4 linked regions of the Caenorhabditis elegans genome follow. The protein of the gene in region 1 interacts with the protein of each later gene in a pairwise test. Each region holds a gene or a part of one and is shown on either strand. Other genes may lie near its edges.

Region 1 (5,513 bases):
CTATTAAAAAGTATGCATTAACATAAGTTTCAAAAGGCATCGCCAGAAAAAAAAAATCGAAAAGTCATCAATACAATGTAGGGGGCTATAAAAACAACAGTGCCTTGTCTACGATGAAAAAAAGAGAAATCGTAACGTCCCAATTGATACACACATCGTCTTCTGTTACAAGGTAACAATAAAGTGAATCAAAGGTTAAAATGAGATACTGATGATAAACTGATACAATTTGAAAGTAATTGTGTTACAAGTGACGTCATTTGGAAGTAGAGATTAATTAGTTTTCTTGAGTTAGATTTAAAGTTGTAAGTTTTTTAAATTTAAATTTTTCTAAATTTACCAGTAAGCAAAAAATCTCGAAAGGGACGCATTTAAATTTTAAATTTTGAAATTTTTTCCCTCGTGAATGCGGATTCCCGTCCAATCTCTCGTTTTTTTTACTACAAAAATTAAGACTTGATTTTGGTAAAACTATTCCTTCCGTAATACTAATTCTTTCAGAATCGTAAAGCCTACTACAGTAATCTTATCATACTCTACCGTGCCATCACAATACCTGATAAATTCGGAAATGTCGCAGCAAGACCCAACGTGTCTAGAAAAATTTTCGCAGTTTTATACAATAAAATGTTCTCATATTGCAAAAAAACTTTTTCTCACAATAAGAAAACAATGATTTCCAAAGAAGAGTTATTGAGGAAATATTTAGATAGAATGGTCAACCAAAAAAAAATCAAGCATTCTTAGAATCTTCGTCTGTAAGTGACTCATATCCTCAAAATAATTCCTATGTTTTGTTTAATTATTTTTCTTTTTTTCAACATTTTGAGAAAAAAACCAAGACATTAATGAAATTACAGTTTTTCCAACAAACTAAAAGTATTCAATCAAGAAAATAACAAAAAAGTGAAATGAAGCTCAATTCATTAACTTTTAAAATTCAAAATTTGGTTTGAGTAAACCTCCAGTTGAAGCGTAATAATTACCAAAATTCTATCCATATATTTTTAGAGATATTTTAACGAACTTCAAACATGCAAATTAATCAATTTTGGTTTTTTTTTAAATATACACATTATTTAAAGAAATGAAGCTGTTTTGAAAATATAATTAAGAACAAAAATGTACATAAGTGCATTTCAAAAACATTATTGAGCCACGTTGGTTATGAAAACATTCAAAAAATGCCATTGAAAACAAAAATTCTGTCTGAAAGTATACAGAAACTTTTTTAAGTTCTACAACACTTTCCACATCGATAGAGATATTTTTTGAAAATTAGAAATAATTTTTTTGGAAATCTTTTGATATACCCAGAACAAATATATTATGTTGTTTTTGGGAAAACATCTGAAAACGTAGAATTCCACATGGCGCTGTAAACAATGAAAGCTTCTTGTAAGCTTCAATACAAAATATTTCCCTTATATTGTATTAATTCCATATACTAACGGTTTTTCCAAATAAACATTTAAAAAACACCTTATGTGTCTCAGATTTCCGCCACAAAGGTTGAAAAAAGGTTGAACCTTTTTAGGAACTGCTAATCTCTGAAGTTTTCAATGTGTTTCATTTCAGTAAATATACAATTTCATCCATATGTACAATAAATACATCAAATAAAAATTATTAATCAGAAAATTCCTCTTTGTCGAACAAATATTCTCCGAGTCCTGGGCCGGCTCTCTTGATATTTGCAATGTAGCGAGCAAATTCATTGATCGAATGTACCTTAATAAACGTTATAAAAATAGGAGTTTAAACTGAAAATGCCAACCTGCTCTTCCAAATACTTCTCCTGAATGTAATTTGTCAAGTGCGCGTCATTGCGTTGTTCGGCGATTCCATGAAGCTTCAACAAAGATGCATTATTGGCTCTCTCTAGAGCAAGTGCGGCTTCAAATGCTTCAAGGACAGTTCCCCACTCGTCTTTCTCTGGCTTCTGAATGTTCTGCATGGCAACACGTCCTCCACGGACAGCTTGAATTCTCATGAGCTCTGTGGCATGGCCACGCTCCTCATCCGATTGCTCCTTGAAAAATTTGGCAATGTTCCGAAGTGCGATATCATCACGATCGAAGTGTGCAGACATCGATAGATAGACATAGGAGGCGTAGAGTTCTACGTTAATCTGGAAAGGTAATTTAAGCTTTTAATTGAGTAATACTTCTAATTTTAAAAGCATTTCAGTGTTAATTTCGTCCAGTTCAAAAGCAAGCTCAGATAGGATTTTTATTGTAGACGCTTTCAGTCTCACGTGCTCGTCTATCTACTGCCGCCTATTCTGTATATTTTTTTTGGATGACTGGCATAAGAGCAAAGAAATCATCGACGCTGCCATGATCAAATTGCGCTTCTTCAGGTACTGTCTGCCTGCCCTTGTTCGTTAAAAAAAAACAAAATGTTGCCGGTTGGAAAAATAAGCGTGTGGTGTGTTTCAATGTTTTTATTAATCAGTTAAATTCCTAATTTAAAGTAACCAGACATCAGTGATTAATTTTCTCACGACACATCCTCTCTTTTTCTAAATCTCTTCTCAATTTCCAACCTTCCTAATATATTTTTCCCATTTGTCAAAACAATGATCATACCTGTTTATTGACGGCCGCTTCGACTTCATCGTGATAGTTTTGACGAGCTAGAGACATGACGATTTACTTGGCAGAAAATATAATGACTTGATTACGTGTCCGGGACTGTGGGTGTTTTTAAACTGGACAACTCTGGGGGCGGAGTTTGTGATTGTGATCATTGATAAACTGATTATGATTTTTGCACATTACATATTGGCAACGAAAGGGTTCTTGTTTACAGAAACATGCGTTTCAATGAACTAATATGGAAACCTAAGTGTTGAAGTACATTTTGAGAAGCTTAACCTTCTGTAAGAAAACTACATCCAAGGATCGCCGAATGAAAATAACTTTTTGCAGAAGTGTGATGTCCCTTTTCGCCTGGCTTTCTAGCGTCCACATTCACATTACATTTTGATTTTAATATGATGCTTCGTAAACTCATACTTGTCCTGTACTCAAAATTTTTAAACTTAGATATAGGTTATAAACTTGAAAAGTGTTTTTTGGGAGATAAATTATACCAGTATTGTTAGAACGTTTCCAGTGAACGCCCTAAATTCTGAAATAAAAAGTTCCGGTTTTTCCTGATCCAAACAAAACCCAATTCTCATCAAATGATGATCTACACTTTCTTAACGTTGATGTATGGTTGTCTCGGCATCACATGAGCTGCCCTAAGACATGTTGATTAGCATTTATTTTGGCTACGTGCATCAAAATTTAGTGATAACAAACGGTACGTGCCGCTCTTATCATTGGCTACGTGAGCTGTTGACAGTCAAAAGTTGGATGGAAAAAGTGATATAGTTTAACAAAAAAAATTTAAATATTGCGTCAGAATATTGATACTTTTGAATTAGGATGGTTCAGGTTAAAGCGAAATTCAAAAAAAAAACACTGAAAACTGAGCAGACCATTTAATAACTTGAACAAGTATCAAAAATTACAAAAAAACACTTTTCAGTGGAACTGTTTTTTCACAGGCAAAGCGGAAAGTGCCCAAAACGGTCCGTTCACGGACCGGGAACGGCTCAAATTAAAGAACAGTTCACGGTTCGATTCCCGGTCCGTCAACGGACCGTAATTGAACCGTAAGGAGACTAAAAAATGGGAAAATTTTTTCACCCTCCAGCTGCCCCCTTTTTCTTTCCCAATGCTCCAAGCTCCGGTCTTCCTCCAGACCGTCTTCCGGTGATCCTTCGTTGTAGCAATTCTATCTGCCTCAGCCGGGGTTGAACTTGTCCACTGCCTGTCGATTGATTACTGGCCCATCACCTTTCCGTGTGGCCATTCGCGCACGCGAGGAATATCAAGAGACTTCGCATAAATAGCGATCAGCGCATTTTCTTCTGGTTTTCACGGCTTACACCAACTTTTTCGATTGTATTTTCAGTAGTTTCTGATTCTCCATCTTGCCGTTGGACTTATATGAAAACGAACGATAACAATTGACAGTTTCGTGTAGTCCAGAACTTATTTCGCATATTTCTCAACATCTACCTATTTGTGCTCCATCTACTTGTAATACAGAAATGGTACTTACCATATTTCCTCTATTAGTCTTGCATGCAAGACTAATTTTCGATTGGACCGTAGGGTTGCAAGACTAATAGAGGAAATAAGGTATATGCGTTCTACTTGAATGATACCTTAATTTCTTAAAATACACACGGAACAGAAACGATATCAGGAATGATTCCAGAATGTATTGTTAGTAAAATATTTTATGATATTTCAAAAAATGCTCCTGTTGCTCAGCTGAAGAAGACCAGCAGAGAGAGAGTGAACGTTGCGTATACACAGTATCTACCCAATTGTGGCATTTCATCTTTTTTATTGATATTTTTATATACATTAATATAACCTCTTTTACACACAATGTTCTGCTTAATAGCCTCAGTTAGATCGCATGCGATTACGGGCCGCGTACGGACCAGTCGGACAGATGATAGACAAAATGGTTGCCCAGAGGAATTTTTTTTTCATGAAAATTGAGTTTTTGAAGTACCTACAATGCTATTTGGTTCATTGTAGCCAGTTGGTTAATTTTTTGCCTGATTCAAGGTTTAGTTTTAAAAAGTGCAGTTTTGCCGACCGGGACGGGTAATTTACGGACCATCTACGGACCGGCTACGGCCAAACTACGGATGATCACCAAAACGGAGGATAATACGAAAAAATTTTTCATGAAAATGGAGTTTTTGAAGTGCCGAAGAGAGAAGGAGAGGGTACTCTCCTTTAGCTAATTTCAGCACTTTTTCCGTGCTAGAACCTGAAATTTTCAAAAACAAAAATTTGGTGCCCGGGACGGTTCATTTACGGTCCGTCTACGGGCCGGCGACGGACCTTCTACGGACCGGAAACGGCCCAACTACGGCTCAAGAGCCATCTCGGTCGGTAAATGTGGTGTTTGCTCTAAATAATGCATTTAACGACGTAAAAATGCTTAAATTAGCCAACTGGTATCATAGGTATTAAAAACAATTCGTTTTCTTAAAATCCATTTTTTCCTCTTAATGGCCATTTTTTACATTCCCCGTAGTTTGCCCGTAATTGGTCCGTCCCGCTATTCATATCCGTAGTTCACCCGTTAATGGTCCGATCCCGGTCCAAGATCCGTAAACGGACCGTACCCGCTTTGCCTGTGTTTGAAATCATAGAAAAACCCGCATGATTTGTTCACCTCTGCACAAATCACGACAGATTATTAATTGATTCACAAAATTTCAATGTATCTTTTTGAATTTCCGTATTCTACTTTTTAATCTGTCCAGGGATTTGTCGCCTCGGTAAAAAAGCCCGCCACCATTAAAATCATACCGAATCTACCATGCAGAGGTGTCTTTTTCCCATTGTATTTTGTGCACTGGAACTTTTTTCTATTGTAGGTACTCAGCAGGCATTCGGAGTAAGTTGTGGGTTTTCTGAAAAATATAA
Region 2 (5,252 bases), 4.1 Mb from region 1:
TTTGCCTAAAAATATTGGACCAAAATAGTTTTCACATATGATCTGAATATTAAATGTTTTCATTTTAAAAAAATTAAATCCTTTCTTCCTCCCTATTCACATTTTTAAAAAGCACATGAGAGTGAGGGTTTTTTGCCGCTTCAATAAAAAGTTTTGCCTTTTTTTCGCTGTTTTTTGCCGAATTTTTTGCCGCTTTGCTTTCAACAGTAACTGGCGGAATATTTATGATTTTCAGGAAATTAATCCATTATGAATACCATCCTTGTACTGGTACTTGTGACTGGTATAGTCTGTGCAATATTTGATGTCCTACTTAATCTCAATTTAGTATGGATAATTGTTTTGTGAGTCTAATTTTTGCATGCCATTTTTCTCATTATATTCATTTATTCCAGGAAAAAATCCCAGCGGAAACCTGAAATGCGATTATTTTATTATCGATTCGTTCTGGACGTTTGTTTTGGTCTGTCGTGTAAGCTTAAACCAGTGTTTTCTTTTTTTCTAATTAAAAAATTTCCAGTGTTGTCATACATCAGTTTCCTTTTATTTTATTCTGAGAATTCATTGTTTATGGTCGAACATCGCAGCTTTTTAATTTTTTTGGGCCTTCCTTGGTATATTGTCGGATCATGCCGTTCTATAATCGCACTTTCAATTGCACTAGAACGAGCCACTGCAGTGTACTTTCCAATTTTATACAGAACTAGTGCTCAGAATGTTCCGAAATTTTTAATTTTCCAAGTTGCCCTGGTATATGGCTCTTTCGATTATATAGTTCTATTTGTATTTTGTGACTGCAAAACAAATTTAATTCCTGAAAACTGCAAGAATTTCGGTTGTGCAGTTAACAAATGTTTCTCCAACTATTTCAGAATTCAAAGAAGTGTAAGTAAACTATACAATAAGCAGCAGACATTTTTCGGTTTCGGGCAGTTTTTGAGTTTTTTTGGGAATTTCTAACTCGATAAAATATTTCCACCTGTCAAACTTGAAATAATAGTGAAAAAGCGGAATAGGGCAAAAGTGTAAAATTATGGTTTTTAACCCGGGACTATTTTGGCCTCCTAATAAATTTCAAATATTTGTTTCTGAAAAAAATTTTGTTTCTAAAAATTCAAAAAATCTGGAAAAAAAAGTTTACCAGGTGAGACAGGAAATGTTTCTAAAACTTCCAAACACAACAAAATTCTATTCATTTCAGACTGTATTTTCCATCAACGTATTTGTATCTATACTTCTCTTTGTCAATTTATTCCTACGAAATCGGAAATACTTAAAGAAACATCCAATCAATAACAAACCTACAAAAGTAAAAACATGTTACTAAATTATTTTTTCAATTCCTCAATTTCCAGGCAAATCGTCTGGCATTACTGGACACTTGTACAGTGTTTTTATTTGATTTTCTTCCGGTCTTTTGCGGCGGGATGTGGCCTAACATTTTTTCAATTGAAGTAAAAAATTTTTATTTCTAAAATAAGTGCACCCTTTACAGGTTCTGGGTCCTTTTACAGCGGTAATGAAAACCATCGGATGTGCCATAGAATCAACAGTCGTCTCAAGTCTCTTGTATTTTGGAAAGCCAAAAAGTGCAAAAATGAAAAGTTCGGTCGCGGTTGGGCAATTTAAAATTTCCAGATAGCTTTTGAATTTTTCGATTTTTTATAAAATAAAACATATATTTGTATCGGAATGCCAAATGACGACTGCAAATAAAATTTCATTATGGTATTTAGGCCCTTTTGATAATTGAAAAATCGAAGTTCCAACCAGGAGTGGGCGGCAACGATTTTTTCAGCAAATCGGCAAATCGGCAAACTACTGGAATCGAAAATTTCCGCCAAATCGGTAAACTGGTAAACTGTCGATTTGCCGAATTTACCGGAACAACGGCAATTGCCAAAAATTTTCAGAAAATTGTAGTTTTGCACATTTTTTTGTTGAAAATTTCTGAATTTTTATTTTAACCGGCAACATTGTACGCATCTCATGTATGCTCTTACATCTATTTTGGAAAATAAGCAAATTCCTTCGAAAATATCTAAACCAAACGAGACAATTTTGTAAAAGGCACAGTTTAAAGTGTTTGCGTCTTATAAAAAATCGCTCTAAAAACTTCCGGCAAGTTGATGTTGGGCAAACGGCAAATCGGCAATTTGCCAAAAATTAAATTTTCCGGCAAATCGACGAATCGGCAAACCATATTCAAACCCCAATAATTTTAAAATACAAAAAATTGAAATTAATTAAAATTTAAAAATCGCAGTAAATTTAAAGTTTTTGATTGCACTTAAAAACGTATTTCAAATTATTTTCGAGAAATTTTATTACAATTTTTCAAATCCAAAGCTTAAAACTCTCACTTCCTTAAAATAATTTTCTTCCTTCATAATCTTCACCCACATTCTACGTCATATTGGAGTATGTGTTTCTCATGCTTTGTGCCGATTATTTGTCTCACTCTCTACCACTCTCTCATTCTCCAATACTATTTTCCGTGCCTAGTTTGTGCCTAGACCCGAAACTGTGTACTTTCTGTTTCTATGAATTTTTCTGATCAAAATGTGACTGGGTGAGTATATAAACAGTTTTCGGAAAGTTTTTTCCCATCAGATTCTAAATTTGACACACTCGAGTTCAACATGACCAAGTACCGTCTTCACTACTTCAACGCTCGCGGATATGCAGAGGCTTCGAGAGCTGTAAGTTTCAACTTAAAACAAAATTGTCTAAATCCAAAATTGGTTACTTTTTGTGAAATTTTGCTTCTGAAGGTAAAACAAAATTAGAAGAATAAATCGTAGGAAAAAAATTATCTGGATCGAATTCCAAAATTTTTGAAAATCGGAGTTTCACTACTTTTTGACTACCCATAAAAATTTCTAAATTTTTAAAAAATTTCTACTACGAGACTTCAATTTTTTCGAAACCTTCCACATTTTTTTATTAACTGAAACTCTCTCCAGATGTTCCATATGGCCGGCGTCGAATTCGAAGATGTCCGATACGAAATCGATGACTGGATCAAGGAAGAAAACACCCTTAAAAACGAGATGCCGTTCGGGCAAATGCCTGTGCTAGAAGTCGACGGTGAGAAGATCCCACAATCCGTTGCAATCGCTCGCTTTGTTGCCAATCAACTTGGATTTGCTGGACAAACTCCGGTAGAGAAGGCCTGGGCTGACGCATTCACCGATCTTTACAAGGACTTCTTGATTGACATGAAGCCATGGGCAATGATTGCCTTTGGGTATCCTGGTGCTGCTGGGGATCGCGACGAGTTGAAGAAAACTTCGTTGGACCCTGCTAAGGAGAAGTATTTCAAGCTTCTGAGCAAGAGATTGGAGAAGAGCAAATCTGGTGAGTTGGAAAAAATAGAAGGCGTTGAAAAATTATATCATTTATTTCTAGGATTCCTCCTGGACAGTGGAATCTCGTTTCCCGATCTCTTCTTCTTCGAAACCACAACTTCTTTGATTGAGTTGGAAAAAGGATTTTTGGGAACCGATTTCCCAGTAGTCAATGCCTACTTCAAGCGTATCGCTGAGCACCCGAAGCTCAAGCCATATTTGGAAACAAGACCATACTCTTCAAAATAATTTTTTTTGGCTATTTGAAATGTTTTTTTCATGAATTGTAATGTTTTTGTAAACTATTTGATAAATATGAACATTGGAAATGTAGAAAAAGTTGAGAAAAACTTTATATAAAAATATGTTTTGCCTGAAAATTATACGTAAAAATTTTTATGAAAATTTTCAAAAAAAAACTGAAGTTTGTAACGAAACTATTAACAAACATTTGCAAAAAAATTTAATTATTCTTATAAAATGCAGTTTACCGGTTTCAAGCGATTCCGAAATGGACGCAGCAAATTCAAAATCTAGGAGTTGTTTAGCGCGCCCGACATATTCTGGGTTCCACCACCCACTTAAGAAACATAATGAATGACCGATCCCGAAAAAAGTCGGACGCGCAAAACGCCTACCTTTCGCTCACAATCAGTTTCGAAGTTCCCAAAATATGTATAATTTAATTATTTTTTTTCCGTTATATAAAACAGTTTTGAATTTCTCAATAACTCAATATACAGGGTGGGCCAAAAGTATGGTAACACGCTTGCAGCTCTATAACTTCACGTGTGGAGAGAGTTATTACATCAATTTGTACAAGTTTTGTTCTCCATAAAATACTGACCAGATGAACGTTTTGAATTTTCAAAATATCCCCATCCACATTGCTGCAGGCCTTCAGAACTTTTGAGATCACGATCTTTTTGGCACGCAAGTTGGCATTCTGCGGGATTTCTACATTTTTCTCAAGGAATCCATTAAGTTTCTTATAAGTTTTTATAGTTCAAAGAATGCTCTTGGTCTGGAGATTCTTTAAAAACAAAAACCCAAAAAATTTCTATCGTGGTATTTCTGTCATGGACTGTGGCAGTAGCTGAAGTCTTGAATGACACAGTCACCAGAAAGATGGATTGCGAAACCTAAAAAACTGAGTAAATTTCGCAAAGTTGAATTCATGAAATATTCAAAGGTTATTGCTAGGCGCCAGTGCCGACACAGAAAATTTTTATAGGCTACAAAAACAATCAAAAGCGCTTCTTCACTTCTTTAACTTTGAATTTAACATAAAAATCATATGTACATCTGAAAATTATTGGCGTGCGTGGGAGGTGTGTTTGTGTGGGAAGTGCCGCGTGCCAAAACACCGTTTTTTCGAAAGGGTTCGCTAAATTGCCGAGGTGATTAAAACCGCACCTTATTGGGAAACATTGCAAATTTTAGGTCAAATTGAAGGAAATTTATTCAGCTATTAGTATTCGATAGAAGAATGTACGTATAACGTGGCAGACGCGCGAAAAGCTCATGTAAAAGAGCGCTTCATGTGTTACCATACTTTTGGCACACCCTGTATAAAGTTTATTCAAAATTTTCATAGTTACAAATTAAATTACAAAACAAATATCCACAACACACCCTCATATCATGAAGGTATCCTAAAACACGTGGAATTCGAGTTTGCACTGTTACAAACCACTGGATCGGAAATTAAGATTCCTGAAAATTTTTTCAAATTAATAAATTTAACTTCCTATTCAAAACCCTCTAACCTGCAACAGTAGCATTCATAAAACAAGCGATGGCTCCTGCACAAAGAGCACGGAGCATAACCTTGGAAGCCACGGTTTTCCTCCCTGGAGCCAGACCTCCAATAACTTCCATTTGAATCCCCATTGAGCCAAA
Region 3 (6,757 bases), on another chromosome or scaffold:
TAATTCTATTAATATTTAATAATTAGGTAATTTTTTTTATTATCGAAAATGTAAAACTTAACATAGAATATTAAAAACATGAAAGAAAAAACCAACTTGTTATTTTTTCACATAACGTAATGGAATTTTAAACAATTCAAAAAAAATTTATAAACCAAAGACATTGTGAGAAAACACCTAGAATATTTAAGTTACAGATGACCATTTTCGGAAAACGGCAGATGGTGTGCAGCGTGCGCGGTTGCGTCGCGGCTCTGTGCACACTAGGAAATGAGAAACAGAGTCTTGAGGACTGTACGGGACCAGTTCAAAACACTAATCTGTCGTCAAACGTTGCGCCGTCTGTGCATTCAGTCACTGAGATGTTTGCGGACTTGGTTGTTTTCCTTCTTTTTTTGCGGTTGTAAAAAACAATGGAACCAAACAAAATGAAATGCCAGGTGTATTTGATTGGAAATCTTTAATAAATTAATACAATAATTTTATTGAACAATATATCATGTATTGTCTATTTTGTTTAGAAGTTTCAGAATGAACCCCAATGCTATAAATTATGTGTTGGGATCTTCTTAAATCTGATCTTAAAAGTTGAAATAAAATTTGTGTAACGTTATTTCATTGTCAGCGACGAACTACTGTTATTTTTCTCGTAATACCTCAATACATAATTAATCAGCAATTAGGGTCTTTTCAAGCATAATGCTATCCATTTTAGGTTTGTATAGCTTCAAGTCACATGAACTTTGGCAAAGAAGTGCACAGAAAAAAATTTTGAAGTTAAGTCGGGATACGAAGGAATCAATGCTAAGTTCGGCAGCTAGTGGAAGTCTCCTGTATGTTACAGATGTCCAGAAATTGCAAGATTGCACAAATGCTCTTGTTGATTTTAACTCCAAAACCAGGAAAATGATAGCTTATCCGTTTCAATTATTTTAGCTTATTCCCTTTTTTTCTGTGGAGGAATTTGAAAAATTTTCAATCAATTTCGGTTTTTTCAGGGTTCCTCCATGAGAATATTATTTTGATGTACATGCATACATCGATTTGTACTCCCAAATGGAAATAAATTGCTTCTCTGATCTGATTGTGAAGTCAAAATGATCAAATTTGAAGCTCCTTACAATTGGCCATCAAAGAAACATTTGCATTATTGTTAGCGATGTTGTAGAAATGTGTAAAATTCCTGAAAAGCGAGTGGAAAAAATCACTTGTAATAATTAAAAACTTCTTGCTAATCGCAATGATCCATTCGGGACGTTATCATCAGACACTTCCTAAATCAATTGGTTGTTGGATGCATATTCATCGTCGTGAAGAACAACCTTGGGGTGCGTACGTGCGCGTTGCGGTCACTACATTCTCTCTTCTCCCTCTCCTCTCTGGTCAACACAAATCGATACGAACATTGAGCGTGTACGTGAAGGGGAATTTGTCGTAAAATAGTGCGCATTGGTGCATTTGGTCGTCTCGGTGATTGCAGTCGTTGCTACTAGGGTTCGATACTACGAGACATTTTTGCATACTAGTTTTGCCATTTTTTTTCTGCAGAAATAGTTTTTGAACTTTGAGAGACACTAAAAGTTTAAAATGTAAACTTTTAAGTCATGAAGTTTTTTTCCACCGTTAGAATTCACTACTTCAAAATTATAAAAACCTTTCTTACTTTCTCTCATCTTTTTTTTCGAGAAAACTTTTCAATTATTCTGATTTTCTGAGAATTTAACATTTATTGAATGAAAGTTTTATTTAGACGTTTTGATTTAACGAAAATAATGTTTTACCATAACTTTGTCAATTTTCACCGTTTTATCGGAAAACCATATAAAGCTCAAATAGCCTCAAACACGGAATGTTTCATTATTGATTAATCATTTTTCATTTTCAGGTAAATCCAATCATCAAAAAACAAGACAAAATGAATGGAGCGTCGAGGGGCGACGTGCAGCGCCCCACTCCAGTTCAAGCTCCGGCAAAGCGACCAATTCCGCCTACAGTTTTCCGATTCGAGAAGGCATCCAAAATCGGGACTTCACTGGATACTACACCCAAAGAACTTCCCATAAGACGTCCCGTTCCACTACCAGGACCGCGTTTCGTGAAAGACGTGGTAAGATTAGTTTTTTTTTTCTCAACTTAAATCTGGCATAATAATTTGAAAAGTAATTTTAATTTTTCCTGCCAAATGAACTAAACTCGTCCCTTTCCGTCGATGAAAAAGTATCAAGAAATGTTGAAATGTTGACAAAAAGTAGGAGATGAGTTACACAGTAAAATTAAAAATACAATGAGATGTCATTTAATGGAGAAACAAATGTTGCTAAAACTCTGATGGTATTTATGAATCTTTTTTCGATGTAATCTCAAAGATAAAACTAACCCTATCTTGATTTCAGAACCCCTCACCTCCAGCTACTTCTTCGCCGAACGTTCAAACACAATGCCACCAACCTCCAGTTGTAAGATCTCAAACTCATCAAGCATCAGTTTCACAAACAACGCCTACTCAAACTACACCCTCTCAATATACTCCAGCTAGCGTTTCTACAGCTCGAGCCCCACAATTCCATAGATCGTCCCATGTTACACCTTCACAACAACAACGAATTGAACAAGCATTTGGCCCAGCTCCGGTTTCTCAATCACAACCACAGAACGGCAGTTATATCCAATATAATGAACCAAGCACATCGGTGGCATCTACGACTACCTCATTTTACAGTCCAAGTGAGTGAAGCTAAGTATATAATTTCAAAATTTTTATTTACAGACGAGTCTGAGCCCGTATTCACGCATGCAATATCTTTTAAACCCAATGAACCCGAGAATGGACAGAAAGCAAGGGAGCAACTAGAGTTGTTAGGTATGGTAAATTTTTGATATGTGTGTAAAGTCTACACTGTAAACATACTTATCTATTCAGATTCTGGAAAAATCAATGAGATTAATCAGTCAAAAGTTCCGACGACAATAGAACTGCCGCCAAACTGCAAGGTTAGGGAGTTTTACATTTGTATGTAGATCTAAAGTCAATTTAAATCTGTTTTCAGCTGTTTCAATATTCATGGGTGCTCGACGGAATACCTAGGACGCTTTTGGTTCCAATGCCAATGGATGCAACGGAAGAAGATGTGAAGGTTGATTATAAATTGTGAAAATATCTCCTACAAACATAGAGTTTCAGGCAATGCTTCCAAAAACGTTGGAAATGGATTCAAATCTTTTTAACAATGCTCGGCCCAGGGATGAACTACCAGTACTATCTTTCCGTAAGTCAGATATTTTTTTTCTTTTCACGGGATAATTTAAATTTACACCCAGAAAAATATATTCCGCAAAACTGCATCGGCAATAAAATTATTTTAAACGGTTCCAATGAATAATACCTTTTTTCAGCAAACGGAACAGTACCCAATGTAGAAATGATTGGTCCAAAAGTGCAACAACCCATGCTGGTCAATCCGAAGCAGTTCAACAGAATTATGCGAAGACGTGAGATGAGGCAACAGCTTGAAGCCAGTGGACGGCTCCCACTTGCTCGCCAGAAGTATCTCCACGAAAGTCGTCATCTTCATGCACTAAAACGCAAGAGAGGGCTTGATGGGCGTTTTGACAATACGAAAAGTAAGCAGATTTTCAAAAAATTGTATTAGTGGAAAGATGTTTTGAACTTGAATGTTTAATTGTTTTTACTTTCCAGCAGCCGAATCGTCATCAATGGTCAGCAGTACAACGTCTCCCAGAAAATTGAAACGCCGGAACCGCTTACCTGGTGAAGAAACTTCTGATTCGTCCTCAATAGTTCTCCCATCGCCAGTTGAAATTCAGTTAGTTTTTCTTATTTAAAATTGTTTCATTTTTCAATATGTGTGAATATTTCAGACCAAAGGGCGGGATAGTCAATTCATCGATGCCGTCGACGTCGACTGGATACATCAATAATGGCATGGATCATCAAACGGATTATATCGAGCATCAGCAACCCATGTCTACCTACGACCAATATCACGACCACGTCCAATATATCGCGCCGGATGGTAATGTGAATTACCACAACAATCATGACAATGGCGTCGATTTAACTGGAAGTGATGGACAAAGTTTCACGAATCTCTAATTTTATTAATAGCTTAATGTGTATTGCAACCGTTGCCAAACAAAATTCACCTCACCAAAATCATTCATGTTCCCTACGCTTTTTGCCACAGAAATGTACCTTCTCTTATTGACCGATCTTTTCTTCGGGATTATGCCCATTTCTCTTTCAATGTTTTCAAATTTTTTATCCTCATTATGCATTTTTTAAATCGTCATGTTGGGTTATGTCAGTCTTCAAACTATCCAATGAAAAGCTACACTTTTTTTAAAAGTATGACAGCAAAACTTCGTGTCATAATTGTCTCAAATATAAATCTGTATTGTTAAAAAGCTTCAAAATGTGCTACCACTCTAATATTGATTGTGTTCATGCAATTTGCAAACGAACATTCCCTTCATGCAAGTAAAAACATTTGAAAATTACAGTTTTAGTGTCAGCTAGCACTTTGCAGGAAACAAGCAAGGGCGGTGCCATGTGGATATAGGATTACGGCTTGATCTACAAAAATCTGACACCACATGTGATGGTAATCATGTAGTTGCTGTTCCCCAAATGCTGTTAATGAATTTATTTTTGAAATGAATAATTGTTCCGAAAATTTATTCACACAAATAATTTTTCCGAAACTTTTTCATTTCTAGGCTCAGAAATCATGATTCCTAGCAAATCTAAAAATAAAAAAAATCAGGTATTAGTTTTTCAATTTTGAAAATGTTGTGATATTTTGTGGTACGCATATTGAACAGGTTCCAATTCAATTCTGCATCCCCGTAAAATTTTTTTACTGCCACTTACTTGGAAAAAAGGGAAAAAAGAATACTAAATTTTCAATTCATCCAACAAAAAAAAAATAAAACTGAATCACAAACTGTAAAAATTTGCAATATCATGTTTGGCCATTCTCGTTGTGTTAGGTGTCATAGTCAGTCCACCAATGCGTTCACATTTGTCGAAATCACAAAGAACGACATCTCAATGTGAATCGTTGTTTTGAACACTTGTGATAAGTTCAATAAACATTTCAATAAGACATGAAAAAATAAACCACATATTATCAAAAAATATCAATCGCACAGGCCACGTGGCTTTTGTTTTTTATTTCTTTTTTATTTACGCTCTTCCCACAACTTTATTTTCAAAGATAATTTAAAAACTGAACTAAAGGTCAGACGTGGGAGGAGCGTAAATAAAAAAGAAATAAAAAACAAAAGCCACGTGGTCTGTGCGATTGTTATTTTTTGATAATAATATAATGTTACTTGAAAACTATTGTTCTAAAACAAATGTGTCTGATACAAAACTGCGAACATATTTTTTGCATAAATCAAACTTATTTAACGCTTTTATGACAATAAAAAATTGCATTGACTCACAAGACAACCCCCCAGTTGTCCCACTTCAATCCACTATAAAATTGTTTCTCTACAAATTTTACAAACATGTTTCAAGTTGTTGGCATTAGAATTTTGGGTAACACTGTTTTGGCACGCCCAAAAAAATGTTCAACCAGTTCCAACTGACAATTTTTCAACATAAAGTATGAATTGTTCAGAAACATAATAACGGCACATCTCACTATTTTTGAAAGCTCACAATGAGTTTGATTATGCATCTGAAAAAATTATATTTCGAGGTTTTTCACATACGCGTTCTAGAAAAACTTGTTTCACGTAATATATCAATTGTTAAAAACGTCATTAATAATCTTTTGATTTCACACATGACTCTCACAATAGGAGCAAAGTTAACACCCCTGACGTTTATTTTTGCAATTTTGGTAGATTTTCATTTGTTGACGTCGCAACTCATTAACTCCTCCTCACGTGTCTCCCCTATCAAGTATGAAAACATCAATTATATTTGTACACTTTTGCAATAAGTGTACCCTCTATGCGTCAAATCCACTAATGAATCTCAATTATCCATTTCGTAACTTAAATTTTTGTTCTTTTGAATTTTACACCTTGGATTTTTTTTAGCTAGTTTCCTTATTTTTGTTTTTTTTTCTCCCTATATTTCAATTTCTTATCCATTTTTTTTATTTTTCTGGCCAGCGTGGACCTTCCTTTTGCTGTGCCTGAATTGTTTCTCTATTTTCTCTATTTTGATTAATTCTTTACATTTTATGACTTGACGTTCAGAACCGATTTGCCCACAGTCTATTCGAAAGTAGTTTCTGCGAAACCACCGAAAGTCTGGTTTCGGAGTGGTTAAATTGCATTTCTGATTTTATGATTCGAGCTTATGTTGAGTATATAAACGTAAAATACCCCCAAACCGTTATTCCACCTTTAAGATCTCGGCTACCTCGGTTTTGCTATTCACCTTCGCAACTTCACACGTGTCTCCCATAGCAACTAAAAAAGCATTAATTAGCTTTCTATATATCTTCGCAACACATTCAGATGTATGTATGCGCTACATCGCCGTATTCTAACTTTTCCGTATGAACCACATGAACCACGTGGTTTATGAATCAAAACATGATTTTGCATCTGTGCCCATTCTCTTAGCTTATTTCCGTCCTGTTTTGTTGTTCCTTGATCTAAATGTTTCTTTTTCAGTTAATCATGGACCCTGAATTCTTAGACTCACAATCAGATGAATCATCCGACGACTCGTACGATCCCAGTTACAATCCAAAGCTAGGGAGCGGATTTT
Region 4 (5,349 bases), on another chromosome or scaffold:
AATTTGGATTTTTGGAGAAAATCTTTTAAAAAAATGTACTGTTTTTTTTCCAAAAAATTGAAAAAAAAACATAAAAAATTTTAGATATCTCGGTTTTTTTATAGGAGAAAATCAAAAATCAATAATATTCGATTTGTCGATTTTTTCTTTAAAAAAAAACGAAAAAAAATCAGAAAACTATGGTTTTATCAAAAAATATGTTATTTTTCCGAAAAATAAAAGAAAATTGCCTTTAAACTATTAAAAAATGACCGGAAATTATTGAAATTTTGATATTTTTCAAAAAAAAAAATTAAGTTTTTTCTTAAAATCGAAAAAAATTAGTAAAAATAATTTTTAAAAAGGCGAGGAAACTATGGATTTATCAAAAACATGTTGATTTTTATGAGAAAAACTTAAAGAAATTACTGGAAATTATTAAAAATTTGATATGGAAAAAAATCGAAAAAAAAACCAAAAAACATACCTTTCCGAATTTTCTGAAAAAATTTGAAAACTAGTTTTTTATTTTTTTTAAATCGAAAAAAATTATTAAAAACTAGATAATTTCCAAAATAAATTCGAAAATATTCGGCTTAGAGATCTGATATTAATTTTTTTAAATCATGTCCATTTTGTAGACGAATGAGAAATTATTCTGTTAAAAATTCAAAATGTTCCCGATTTTATTTTTAGAAATTTCGAAAAAAATGAAATTGCCCTCAAAAAATAATTTTTCAATATTTTTGAAAATTTTCCAAGCGAAATTTTTTTTCTAAACATCGAAACAAATTATCTGAAAGCGTAGCCGTACGACTATTAATTTCATAATATAAATTTAAAATTATTTGAATATTTATACATATGCCCAATTTTCAAGAAAAAAAAGTTCCAGAAACGCCGAAAAATCTGCAAAGTATCATCGCAATCTGCGCAGACGCCACGTACTGGAGACACGAATTCTACAAGGACAACACTGGAAATTTCACGAGTCATTTTGGGTCTTACGACGAATTGATCGAGGTCGCCAACGATTCATCGTTCTTCCGTACGCCAGTCGAGTAGAAATGTGGAAATGTGTATAAAAAATGTTCAAAATTGTGCTATATTCATCACTCAAACCTGCCATGTGCCTTTAAATTGCTTTAAAAAAAAAGAAATAATGCCATTTTTTTTTCCCGAGAAAGCCCCTCCCAATTGTTGGCATTTTTCGCCCTAAAATTCAAATTTAAAGGTGCAAATGGCCCTACTCACTTCATTTTCCCTCCACTTTCAATTTTTCGTACTTTCTCTCTGAATTTCCTCCTCTACGTTGCGTTTTGCTCAATTTTTCTGTTTCTGTGTGTACATTTTTGTTATTTTTTCCTTCTCTTGGTTAAAAATCCGAATAAAATTCAATTTTTCGTTTAAATTTTTTAGAAACATTTTGAATTTTCCGTTTATCGATCGGCGAAATACTCTTTTTTTTTTCAGAATTTCGAATTTTCGAACCAGAAAAATCGAAAAAAAATCGAAAAAATCTTTTTTTTTCCAGCTTTTCCGTTGCTCAGTTTATGGTCCACAAGAAGTTTGTGAATCTGACGTCGACACGAGAATCCACGTGGATTGACAGAACCCCACATCCCGCGGCACGCAATTATCTCGACGAAATGGCACCAATCAACGGAATTCGTGATGATGACGCTGCGTCAATTCGTCTCCGAGATAGCTTTCGAGATGAGGTCTCGAAGCGAATGGGCGAACTTTTGTTAAAGGGACAGACGATGTTGGATGAGTACTGCCCGACTTGCAGTGTAAGATGAAGACTAATATTACGGTAAACACTAAATTCTGAGAATGCGTATTGGGCAAATCATTTGACACGCAAAATATAAAATATCTCGTAGCGAAAACTACAGTAATTCATTAATTGACTACTGTAGCGCTTTTGTCGATTTACGGGCTCAATTTTTGCAAATCAAGATCCCGTAAATCGACACAAGCGCTACAGTGGTCCTTCTAAAGAATTACTGTAGTTTTCGCTACGAGATATTTTGCGCGTCAAATATGTTGTGCAATACGTATTCTCAGAATTTTGTGCTCCGGTAATACGTGGCCACTGACTGATTATTTCAGTTCAAATTTTTTTTTTTCAGGGAATTCTCATGGAGGACCGAGCTCTCGTGCGTCGTTGCGTCACCTGTGAACTTTTCAGAGAAAAATCGTCGGTTATTGTCGGCGAGGTTTCATTGCGTAAGGGATTTTGTCGCAAAAAATTACTAAAAATTAAATTTAAATTTTTTTATTTGAATTTCTAAAGATCTTCTGAAAAATGTCTTACATTTCGTGGCGAGACCCAGAAATCTATAGACCTATAAATTTTCAGAAGACGAAGACCTGAATGAAGCTGTGAACAACAAGATCCCAACCCCAGCGGCTCCAGTGAATAAACCAGCGAAAAAAGCAGTGCTCCAGAAATCTGCTCCAGCGAAAAAGAAGGAAGCTGTTCCGGCTGCTGCTGAGCCATCATCGTCTGATACAATTGAATCAGCCACCACTGCAGTCCTTCAGAAGCTCGAATGGGCCACCGATCGGCTCAATTCAACGGAAGAAGTCGCTCGTGTCATGGATTTTCTTTCCGTCATTCAAAAATCTGCCGAAACTCTCAAGGCTCTCCGTATTTGAATCTCATGTTGCTCTTTTTGTTTTCGAATTTTGTGGTTCAATTATTGCTTGTTGGTATAATTTGAAACATTTTCAAAATAAATAAACGCTTTTTCCATTTAAATTAATTTTTGAAAAACGTAGTAGTAAAATGCAAAGTTTGAATATCGATTTTAAGGACAATTAGCAATCAATAATCTAGAAAAATTCAGAAAAATGCATCGGACCGCCCGAAATTTTGCGGAGATCAAGCCGAATTTGTTGTTCCGAAAAGCAAAAATGGCTAGGAAATCCGCGGAGAAATATGTGGCCAAAAAGTGGGTCTCGCCACGATTACATCCCAGAGTTTTCAAAATTTAGGTCATATCGAAAATAACGAGTAAAAAATTAATAATTATGTCTTTAAGCTAATTTTCAAGCTTTGGGTCCTGACACGAGTAAGACTTTTGAACTACAGTAACCACTCCAGTACTTTGCAAAGGTGTGTACCTTTAAAGAATACTGTAGTTTCAAACTTTGATTGCTCCTGAATTTTTGTCGATTTTTCAGACTTTGGATAAAAATGTGTTTACTGTTTAAAAAAACCATAAGTTAAAAAAATCGATAATATATCCGCAAAAACTAGAAATTACAGTACTCTTTAAAGGCGCATTCCCATGTGCATTCGGCACCGTATTTTTTAGGCAATTCATTCGCATTTGGGTATAAAAGCCATTAAAACACGAGAAAAACCAGGAAAAAACTGAAAAAAAATTAAACGACTGGTTACGGTAGCTGAAAAGTTATTGTCGTGCCAAGACCAAACAATACAAAAAAATTAATAGCGAGGTTCTACAAAAACGCTATTTTTACAGAATTCAAGTACCTGAACTGCAAGGAGAAGCACTTTTTGGCTTACATTCGGTTTTAGAGGCAATTCGTTCTGGAAAACGCGATTTTCATTCAGTTTTTCTGAAAAAAGCTGTCGAGTAAGCGGGTTTTTTATTTGTACGTAAAAATAGCTGTAATGTGTGCTAAAAAAAGTGCGATGGAGCGCATTTGCACTTGAAATTAAACATTTTTTAAGAAGTTTTTTTTTAACTACAAAATCGGCCCGCCCCTTTACTGGCAAAAAGTTGATTTTTTCCAGAAACCGTGCCGATTCTGACGCCCGAATCAAGGAAATCCTCTCACGAATCGATGAGCTCGGAATTCAAAAAACTCTGCTAACTGATGACCAACTCGATCGGCTCACCGAGTTTCAGCTTCACAATGTACCTTTAAATGCCGCTTCACTCTAAAAACTCAAAAAAAAAATTTTTTGCAGGGAATCTGCATGGACGCCAGCGCTCTGCAATTCTCAAATTTCGAGCCGAAAACCGTGTCGATTTTTGTGGATAAAGTGTTGGATCCTGGGAATTTGGGTGCAATCGGAAGAAGTGCATGGTATTTTGGAGCCGATGGGCTTGGACTTGTCAAGGGAAGAGGGTGAGAATTGGAACACCACATGATTTACGCTGTGGCCTAGAAAAAAACCGATTTTTCAGACCCAAATCGATTACCCCGGCAATGATCAAATCATCGTGTGGAGCCCTGGAGCATCTTCCAGTACAGCAATTTCTCAATTTCAACGAGTTTCGCGACAAAATCAAAGCTGCCGGCGGTGAACTCGTGGCGACTTGTGATCCTGGTGCTGCTGAAAAGGCTGGAATTTCGGCAAAATCACTGGATCAGTGGACACCGGAAAAACCCGTGGGCATTGTGCTCGGCGACGAGGGTGTCGGAATTAGTCGGGGGATTCTGAATCTTTGTGATACTGTGATATCGATTTCCCCAGTGAGGAAAGACGGATCCAATGTGACTTCGTTGAATGTTTCAGTTGTTGCAGGTACTTTCCCATTGGTCGGGACACTGTAGGATTACTGTAGTTTTAGAAAATTAAGTATTTGACGTTTAAAGGGACATTGAGTTGGGGTTAGTTGAGGGATATGGTTGGGGTACTGTAGTAATACTGTAGGGGTACTGTAGGAGTACTATAGGATTACTGTAGGATTACTGTAGTTTTGGAAAAATTGACTTTTCGTCTTTTGAAGAGATATTGACTTTGAGTTAGTAGGGGGATATGGTCGGGGTACTGTATTAGTACTGTAGGGGTACTGTAGGAGTATTGTAGGATTACTGTAGTTTTTGAAAACTTAGTTTACAAAAATGAATAACCTAGTTTCAAAGCTTAAATTCCAAAAAACCAATATGTTTCGTTTTCCGGTTTTCGAAAAAAAAAACAAACAGGAAAATTTTATTTTTTGAATTTCGAAGTTCTATGATTCCCGGCCATTGTTTTTGCTACTTTTAAATCAATAACCGCCCAAAAAACAGGTGGCCGAGTTTTTTTTCACGGCCATGTGGCACATATATACAAAATATCAATTTCCAGGCATCCTCCTTCACCACATTTCACTACAAAATCGTACAAATTGAAACAAGCAGCCATTTGGAGACGCTCAAAATTTGCACACCTGCTCACGGAGCCACCGCCTCTGGATATTAATAGTCATGTACAACCCCCTATATAATTGAGTGACCGGTCGTATCCATTTGTTAACAGAAAATATGTTCCTATTTTTCCTGATATTCCTGTTCTCTTTTGTTACTGCTAATGAAAATTATAATGATAAAAATGTTACTGAACTTTGCTCAAATGGAGTAAAACCTGGAAATTGTGAGTGTTGTTTATTGATTTTTCAGCCT

Evidence for each region.
Region 2: the proteins of ftn-1 (region 1) and gst-33 interact in a two-hybrid assay, tested with the Caenorhabditis elegans proteins (one large-scale study listed by BioGRID).
Region 3: the proteins of ftn-1 (region 1) and nfya-1 interact in a two-hybrid assay, tested with the Caenorhabditis elegans proteins (one large-scale study listed by BioGRID).
Region 4: the proteins of ftn-1 (region 1) and Y39A1A.3 interact in a two-hybrid assay, tested with the Caenorhabditis elegans proteins (one large-scale study listed by BioGRID).

The regions. Positions count from the first base shown.
Region 1 is NC_003283.11:7,544,916-7,550,428, forward strand, and holds ftn-1 (Ferritin), read right to left. Parts: upstream 2,665-5,513; 5' UTR 2,649-2,664; coding exon 2,592-2,648; intron 2,132-2,591; coding exon 1,778-2,131; intron 1,732-1,777; coding exon 1,630-1,731; 3' UTR 1,553-1,629; downstream 1-1,552. Other genes in the region: C54F6.19 (SWIM-type domain-containing protein), read left to right, coding at 572-676.
Region 2 is NC_003283.11:3,465,880-3,471,131, reverse strand, and holds gst-33 (glutathione transferase), read left to right. Parts: upstream 1-2,569; 5' UTR 2,570-2,642; coding exon 2,643-2,702; intron 2,703-2,966; coding exon 2,967-3,360; intron 3,361-3,411; coding exon 3,412-3,599; 3' UTR 3,600-3,681; downstream 3,682-5,252. Other genes in the region: srbc-29 (Serpentine Receptor, class BC (Class B-like)), read left to right, coding at 250-344, 396-472, 521-885, 1,202-1,309, 1,356-1,454, 1,496-1,642; slc-28.1 (Sodium/nucleoside cotransporter), read right to left, coding at 4,993-5,066, 5,120-5,252.
Region 3 is NC_003284.9:11,941,961-11,948,717, reverse strand, and holds nfya-1 (Nuclear transcription factor Y subunit nfya-1), read left to right. Parts: upstream 1-1,879; 5' UTR 1,880-1,915; coding exon 1,916-2,107; intron 2,108-2,393; coding exon 2,394-2,724; intron 2,725-2,767; coding exon 2,768-2,860; intron 2,861-2,920; coding exon 2,921-2,991; intron 2,992-3,047; coding exon 3,048-3,134; intron 3,135-3,181; coding exon 3,182-3,266; intron 3,267-3,393; coding exon 3,394-3,621; intron 3,622-3,697; coding exon 3,698-3,824; intron 3,825-3,879; coding exon 3,880-4,114; 3' UTR 4,115-4,433; downstream 4,434-6,757. Other genes in the region: F55G7.3 (BLVR domain-containing protein), read left to right, coding at 6,667-6,757. UniProt on the Caenorhabditis elegans protein: Component of the sequence-specific heterotrimeric transcription factor (nfya-1-NF-Y) which specifically recognizes a 5'-CCAAT-3' box motif found in the promoters of its target genes to regulate their expression and control cellular identity in particular tissue types.
Region 4 is NC_003281.10:10,592,652-10,598,000, reverse strand, and holds Y39A1A.3 (Sjogren's syndrome/scleroderma autoantigen 1 (Autoantigen p27)), read left to right. Parts: upstream 1-1,513; 5' UTR 1,514-1,532; coding exon 1,533-1,772; intron 1,773-2,114; coding exon 2,115-2,211; intron 2,212-2,344; coding exon 2,345-2,643; 3' UTR 2,644-2,743; downstream 2,744-5,349. Other genes in the region: epg-6 (Ectopic P granules protein 6), read left to right, coding at 869-1,044; Y45F3A.9 (rRNA methyltransferase 1, mitochondrial), read left to right, coding at 2,839-2,939, 3,477-3,590, 3,752-3,875, 3,929-4,089, 4,149-4,489, 5,036-5,079; Y45F3A.8 (ShKT domain-containing protein), read left to right, coding at 5,212-5,320.